2 linked regions of the Lytechinus pictus genome follow. The protein of the gene in region 2 interacts with the protein of the main gene of each other region in a biochemical or structural test. Links are inferred from orthologs where the notes say so. Each region holds a gene or a part of one and is shown on either strand. Other genes may lie near its edges.

Region 1 (3,600 bases), on a different chromosome or scaffold from region 2:
GAGAGTGGGCGATATTCATATCGAAGACACTACGAGGGAAAGACTAGGCACTTAAACTATTTTACATGCAAATCGATGCAAAGCGTTACGCAAAGTGTCCAGTCTTTTCATTGTACAGACTTTGGTATACCATTTGTTCAAATGAACAAAGGCTTGTACTGCTGGTTTCGTTCAAGGCTCATATAATTTTTCTATTTTTTCTTCAATTTGCTGTTGCTATAAATGACTTTCAAAGTAGTGCTATCATCAGCAATAATAATCTACAAGTACATGTACATTTTCGAAGGGATTTATTGCGTGCATGTGATACATGAACTTACCCTCTGATCTATTAAACTGCACACACGAGACCCAGGTTACTGCTCAAAAAATTTATTCCTAGGGTTACATCCAGGGGTAAAAACTAAAATCCACGATTTTGACTTTCAAAGATTCTTATGACCCTCACTAATTTTGGACTCCTTAACTTAAGATCGATGACCAAAAAAAAAATCTCAAAAGGGGGCAGTGATTTTCGCAGGAAATGTTGCCGCCGATCACTCTAGGCGACACCCCAATACTTACCCGTGTTAATAAACTGGGACTCCACTCACGCACATTTGGGCCGCCCTAGCTTGGAACTAAGCATCAATATCAATTTAAAATATATATCTACAAGTTATGTATAACCTATTTACTACTTTGATAATGTTTAATCGGTACTCACCAGTTCTTTTGATGTATTTTCTCAAGAATTCCCACGGATTTGTCCCAAATCTTGCGACAAACCACGTTGCGGTAGACAGCTGTACATTCTTTTTTATTTATAAATAGAGCGCCCCTTACAATAGTTGTTAAGAACGCGGCCAAATTGTTAGGTTTTTTGCACTGTGTCCAAGGCGTTTTTATTTTTTAATAAATATTTTGCTAAATAGCGATTTTTACGTCAAATATTAAATTCATATCACAAAATATTTTTAATTGTAGAAATATATATAATATCATGCAATTATTTATTCTATATATATTTTATAATAAAATTTATAATTGTTGCGGTCTTTAAAAAAGGATAGTCGATCGATCAGGTGATCAGTAGTCATCTTCTTCTTCTTCTTCTTCTTTCCTTGGTTAACTGGTTGCCAACCAAGGAAAGAAGAAGAAGAAGAAGAAGATGACTACTCGTATCACGTGATCTGAAAATCAGCTTCGTACCGCTTTGATCGCACTCGACGGGACCGGACTGACTGCCAAGAAAAGATCGAAAAAGGACCTAAATGTAAGTTTCCCTTTATTTTATAACATTTAAAGTATGAGTAGGATTATAGTTAATGGGTAATTTTTTAATAAATGCTAAACAAATGAGGACAAAGCTTGCATTTTTCGAGTAATAATCACTAATATCATAAAAATACTTGGGTGCAGGACTTCTAACCTGTTTTTAAAGCATTGTCGCCTATGAGGTCCATACATGTTAATGTTTGGACCTCACTGGTACTAGGAGTGGCCGCCGATATCGCACATGTTCAATCTATCGGGAAAAAAAATCTGCAATGGCTGCCGCATGGTTTCCCCACGGTGGGAAATTTGACACCCAGCACCCTTCCAAATATGGCACTTTCCCAAATATCGGGCATCTCGGCTGATTAATTTAAATTGGAAATGCGTGCCATTAATTATGTACTTACACGCGTGCGCTCGCTTTTTTTAACGAAGTCGCGCTGCAAACAGTCACTAATATAGTAAGCTCATCATTTTACTCTGCTTTTACTGCAACTCAAGTCTCTCAAGGTTTGAAATTCCAGACTCAGATGCAGGTGAATGAACTGATGAATTCAAGACAGCAGCTCTCTCTCTCTCTCTCTTGTGTTCTTCCTCCGCTAAGGTCGGAGCACACACAACACAAAAACATAGCAGTGGGACTGAAATATTAAAATCTGAATTGTGAATATGTAGCGCTTCTTATAATTATCAAGATTATTGCAGAGCAAATAATACAGAATCTATATAACCTGACCACGCAAGGTTCATGAGAACTCAATATCTAGACCTACATGTATCCTCTACTCACCAAACGTCAAGTATAGATTGAATTTCCACAAAAGAAAACTCAGAATCAGATCAACGCGGGATCTCGGATGCTGCTGCAAGCAATCAACAAGAGATGGCGCTAGAGCACAATGCAATGGACATGGAGGAGGTGGGCTTGGACTGTAGGCCTACTGTGCATGTCTGGAGGATGTATTTGCCCACCCAATGGTTCATTACATGCCAATCAAGCTTCCTCTTGCCAAGAAATCCAAAGCACTTATTGCTTGATTGTAGAATCCGTAATCGTCATCATATGGGTTAACTATTTGTATGAAGTCTGTAGGCACAATCTTCTGATTCCTGAATCATTTTTGTGGATTCGCTCAGATGTGGAGGAGGCCCACCCCCATTTTTGGGGTGTTCCTCCGGGTGTTCCTCCTCCACTCACAATATACTCCTTTTTGGCGGTGACACGCATCTTTTTTAATTTCTCCTTTTACGGTGCCGGAAATTGTGGCAGAGTGTACTTTTGGCCAAACTTCTGTTAAAAACTGGCTCTAATTAACTGCCTCCCATGCTGCTCCTCTTCATTTTTCTATGGTATTGTAGTGACTTGACTATATCTTTTTATATATCTACATCTATATATTCTTTCCTTGTATATATTTTCATTTATATTTCAACATTCTGTATATGTATATAAATTCTTTCTTTTATTTCCAATTTCATATATTCTCACTTGTTCACGCCATGTGTATGTACTACAATACTGTACATTCACAGAGCAAGCCAACTCATTTTCTGTCCAAATCTACTTGGCAAACACATTCTTATATTGAGAAACAACCTTTCTTTTGTTCCTAGACTTGGAGCAAACATCCTTTCATTGTTCCTTGTTTATTGCAATGAACTTGCAGGTATAACCAACATCACTACAGAGATGCTTGCATGTTTGCTTTTCTCACAGTCTGCTTCTCTCTTCTTTGTTCTTTTCAACTTTGTTTTGCCTCCCTTTTTGGCGCTTATTTCTTTGTCTCATCTTTTCTGATGTTGGTAAAAACAACTTGTTTTCTCTACCACATCATCACTCTACTCTCTGCCTTCGTCCTGTCCACTCATGCTGACCATCTCATCCAGCTGCTAGTGAGGATCGAATCAAATCTTGTGGAGGATCAACTTATACTTAATTATTTCTCTGCATTTTCCAATCTTATTCCTTACCGTCACTTCCACTCATTCGAAGTCTATATTCTCTGCATATTTAATGAGCTCATTACTTCGCGAGACATTTTGTGACATCTGTCCCTTTATCTACTGTATTTGAAATTGTGAAGTGTATATATTTCTATTCACGGATTTGTGCAATTTATCTGAGATTCTGAGCGGCTGGACCACATTCTATCTTCTGGCGAGCAAGAATTAAGGTAGGACCTAACTTTTATATTTATATTAGGAGATCGGCTTTGCCAATTTCCTAAAGTATGAATATCTGTACATTTATTACAGAATATCGCAGCATTGTCATGAATGAGTTCGAGGAGGTATAATCTCGGAGTATTGCTAGTTGCGGGGCCAGTTGGCACATCTTTCCCC
Region 2 (3,963 bases):
TGAGCAATGTATATTTTTACAATTGGAAGGCATACAGCCGAGAACGAGGTTATATTATAACCTCGTTCGTAGTATGAGTGGCTACCGGTGCGAAACTGCAGCCAGGCAATAAAACTTGAGTTAACGTTCGTCATTAGACATTAGCCCCAAACTTCCAAGTCATGAAACTATCGAAAGTCAGATTCAATGACAAAGTCAATGTCAATCAATGTGAAGTTTTCGTCACAACATGATCAGTAGAGGCGCACGGCCAATATTGGAGACTGTCTCCAATGTGGGAGATTGTCTCCCCTATTAGAGAGAGTCTCCCATATTGGCCGTGCGCCTCTAGGCTCTACTGATGATGTACCTCGAGCGAAGTTCGTGCAGGCTCCACTCCACTTCACTACCGCTACACTACGCTTCACCTACCCGAACTTCGAGACCATGAACTCGATCGGATATTCCAAGTGACAAAAGGTGGGATTTTATGGGGAGAAAATACAAAATTCATGCAACATCACGATCTTTAAAAACAAGTGCAACTAATATTCTTACTTTACACTAAGTTTCACTTCTTTTCCATGCTTCTATCAGTCTCAAAATTGATGATTTAGAGCCAACATGAAGTAGGGTGTCTGGAGAAAAAAAATTATTTTTCTTATTTCAAGAAAATATCACATTTTCTTTGTGAATTTGAAGAGAAATGACCTTCAGACTGACAGAAATGTAAATTTTTTGAAAAAATTCCAATTATTGGCTGCAAAAAAGAAGAATGAAATTAGGTCAATTTTCAGCATTTCTCTGCCATAGACTGTGTAGTTAAGAAATGGACACACACAAATCCAAATTTCTAGCTTCCGAGAGCTGTTATAAATTCATTACTAATGCCAAAAACTTGTCCATAAAGAGTCCAATAGGATTTTTTATGCTCTATCTGATGGTATGATTTTTATAAAGATTTGGAAACCAGATCACAATGAAAAATTGCGACAAAGTGAAAAAAATTGTGCAAAACAGAAATTTCATTTTCCCATAGAAAACGCATGGAGAAATGGCAATCTCAACACACACAAAAATAAGGGTTTGCAATTTATCTCTAAATCCTTATTCAAAATGATCATATAAACTTGTCCTTACTGTCAAAAGAAGCCCCTGAATTTTCTCTTTCCATACATCCCAAACACAAGTTAATAATCAATTCAGATCACATTTTTCTAGTAGCCTGAACTTCCCTGAAAAAAATGTGCCATATTTCCCCCTAAATCAGCCTGTTTTATGCTGACACTTTTCAGTGTGGCTTCAGACACCCTACATGAAGTTCCTCACACGTATAAATATTAATGCGCTGCCGACTTCAAAACATCGCATGCGGGAGGTACCGGGTCTGGTCCGAGCTCGGACCCTCGCGCGCATGCGATGTTCTGAAATCGGCAGCGAATTATTACGTGTGAGGAACTTCATGTTGGCTCTAAATCATAAATTTTGAGACTGATAGAACTTAGAAGCATGGAAAAGAAGTGAAACTTTGTGTAAAGTAAGAATATTAGTTTTACTTGTTTTTAAACTTAAAGATCGTGATGTTGCATGAATTTTGTATTTTCTCCCCATAAAATCCCACCTTTTGTCACTCGGAATATCCGATCGAGTTCATGGTCTCGACGTTCGGGTTGGTGGAGCGTAGCCGTAGTGTAGCGGTAGTGAAGTGGAGTGGAGCCTGCACGAACTTCACTCGAGGTAGGCCTACTGATGATTATGATGATGTGGCAAAAAAAGAAAACCATTAACCATTTGGCTGCCAACCATTTCCTTTGACTTATTAGATCCTCGTTAAAGTGAATGATAGTTCTTTATATGCCTCAACCATCCCAAAATTTTCGAATTTCTGACTGGTATTAATTATTTATACTGATTTTGTCACAGCACAAATTTACACACGTGGGACTACCCGCAGGCGTAAACTTAGAAAAGGTTTGTCAATGAAGTCCAAACTTACGAAATGCTCCTTCACTTCAGAGTTATGCTTCAGCTGCAGTGTTCCACATCGATTTGGATGTACTTTTGGCAAATTAGACCTACTCAGCTGAAATGTGACGACATTCTGACTCATTCATGCCACTGGACAACTCATCGCAAGAGTCGCATGCCTAGCTACATGTAGCAATCCGTTTGCTCCATTTATATTTTGTGTACAAAATGTGTGTGAATATTGCACGAGTATAGTTTCCCGCGAAAACCCATGATGAATGATGATGCGAGGTGACTACTACTTCCGGTATTCCTCTCTATTTTTTTTTTCTTTCTTTATACCTTTGTCTTTATACCGCATCTGAAAATATACAGCGTTGTTCCAGCAGTCAAGTATCCAGGTCTATCTTTATGTAGGCTACTGTTTCATCTTTTCGAGGAACTACCGAACTAGTATGGTCCAGGGCCCAAGGTCCAGCACCGGGGTCCAGCATTTCTTTGAAAATAAAAGAAAGAATTAACAAACATCCGGACAAACATATAGGCCTATATAGTAGCTAGGCCCGGTAGCTAGGCTACTTATGGGGAAATGATTTTAGATTTGCATCCCGAAGATCAGCAATTCCCGGGCAATTCCTAGCTGACTCTCTCCCTCTATCCCCCCCCCCCAAAAAAAAAAGTGTTTTGTAAAGCTCAGGGAGCTCAGCTTCGATCCATGGCTTCCTCTGAATATTCAGGTCTACCCAAAAAGTGGAAGCGCAGATCGAACTTTATTTTGTTTCAAATAAAGGGGCAGAAATGGAGGGCATAATAAATGATATATGGGGCAGCCGAGGCAGATGACTCGACCCATCGATCTTGATCTGAAAAGATATTGTTTTTACCGTTTTACTTAGGGATATACTATTAGGGAGTATACTGAACGAAGTCATTATATGTATTCAGTTCCAAATTCCTTCTCCTCTTTAGGTTGGCCGGATCATGTCCTGGTGGAGATTATTGAATGTTTCTATTGATCATTATCTTACATTATTTTATCAGGCCATATTATGTTTAACAAATACAAAAACCATGAGGTCAAAATGTTTGAAGTGCATCACCCCTGGCATCATCACCATATACAGGCAGATTATCACCCGGCCCACAGGTGAACCTGATATTTGCACTAGCTCTTTAATAGGCCCCCTCATATCGCAAACTGGTGGCAGCAGTGGGATCAATAATGTACGATGGAAAAATAAGAATGTTGAGTTAAAAGCTGATTACTAAGCCTCATTCAGTCAGTGTGGCTAGCCACATGGACTTAGTCACCATATAGCTATAAATATTTTTTTCCTGAAAGGGGGAGATGGGATGTATGTTTAAAGGGATGGTCCAGGCTGGATATATTTATATCTAAAAAATAGAGTAAAATTCAAAAAGCAAAATGCTGAAAATTTGATCAAAATCGGATAAAAAAGTCATTGAATTTTAAAGATATGCATTATTCCGGTGAAACAGTTCGAGGCATGTCTTTATGAATATTAGGTGGGCTGATGATGTCATATCCCCACTTGTTCTTTTGTATTTTATTATAGGAAATTAGAATTATTCAATATTTTTCTACCAAGAACTGAACAATTGAATTGACAACTGATTGAGTGCATTAGTTATTTATTGCCGCAACTTATTTCATCATACGGAGACACATCATTTATACACATGTATGAAAAAATGAATCATGTATGATTTCATGTAATAACATAAGAAAAAGGAAAGTGGAGATGTGACATCATCAGCCCACCTAATGAATGTTCATGACGATGTGCTTATAACTGTTTTCACAATATATTGATAAACTTAAAATTCAATAACTTCGTTATTTGTTTTCCGATTTTGATGGAATTTTCAGCATTTTGCTCTGTGAATTTTACTCTATTCATTTAGATGTAAATAGTTTCAGCCCGGACCATCCCTTTAAATGCATGATACGATATGCAACCGAAGGTCGAAATGACGGAAAATAATGTTTTAAAC

What was found.
Region 1: the proteins of metal-response element-binding transcription factor 2-like (region 2) and histone-lysine N-methyltransferase EZH2-like form a complex in vitro, tested with the Drosophila melanogaster proteins (2 studies listed by BioGRID). The link is inferred for Lytechinus pictus from reciprocal best matches to the Drosophila melanogaster genes Pcl and E(z).

What each region holds. Positions count from the first base shown.
Region 1 is NC_087245.1:20,681,103-20,684,702, reverse strand, and holds the start of histone-lysine N-methyltransferase EZH2-like, read right to left. Parts: upstream 2,142-3,600; 5' UTR 2,048-2,141; intron 1-2,047. UniProt on the Drosophila melanogaster protein: Polycomb group (PcG) protein. Catalytic subunit of the Esc/E(z) complex, which methylates 'Lys-9' and 'Lys-27' of histone H3, leading to transcriptional repression of the affected target gene.
Region 2 is NC_087259.1:16,248,393-16,252,355, forward strand, and holds the start of metal-response element-binding transcription factor 2-like, read right to left. Parts: upstream 2,353-3,963; 5' UTR 2,090-2,352; coding exon 1,976-2,089; intron 1-1,975. UniProt on the Drosophila melanogaster protein: Polycomb group (PcG) protein.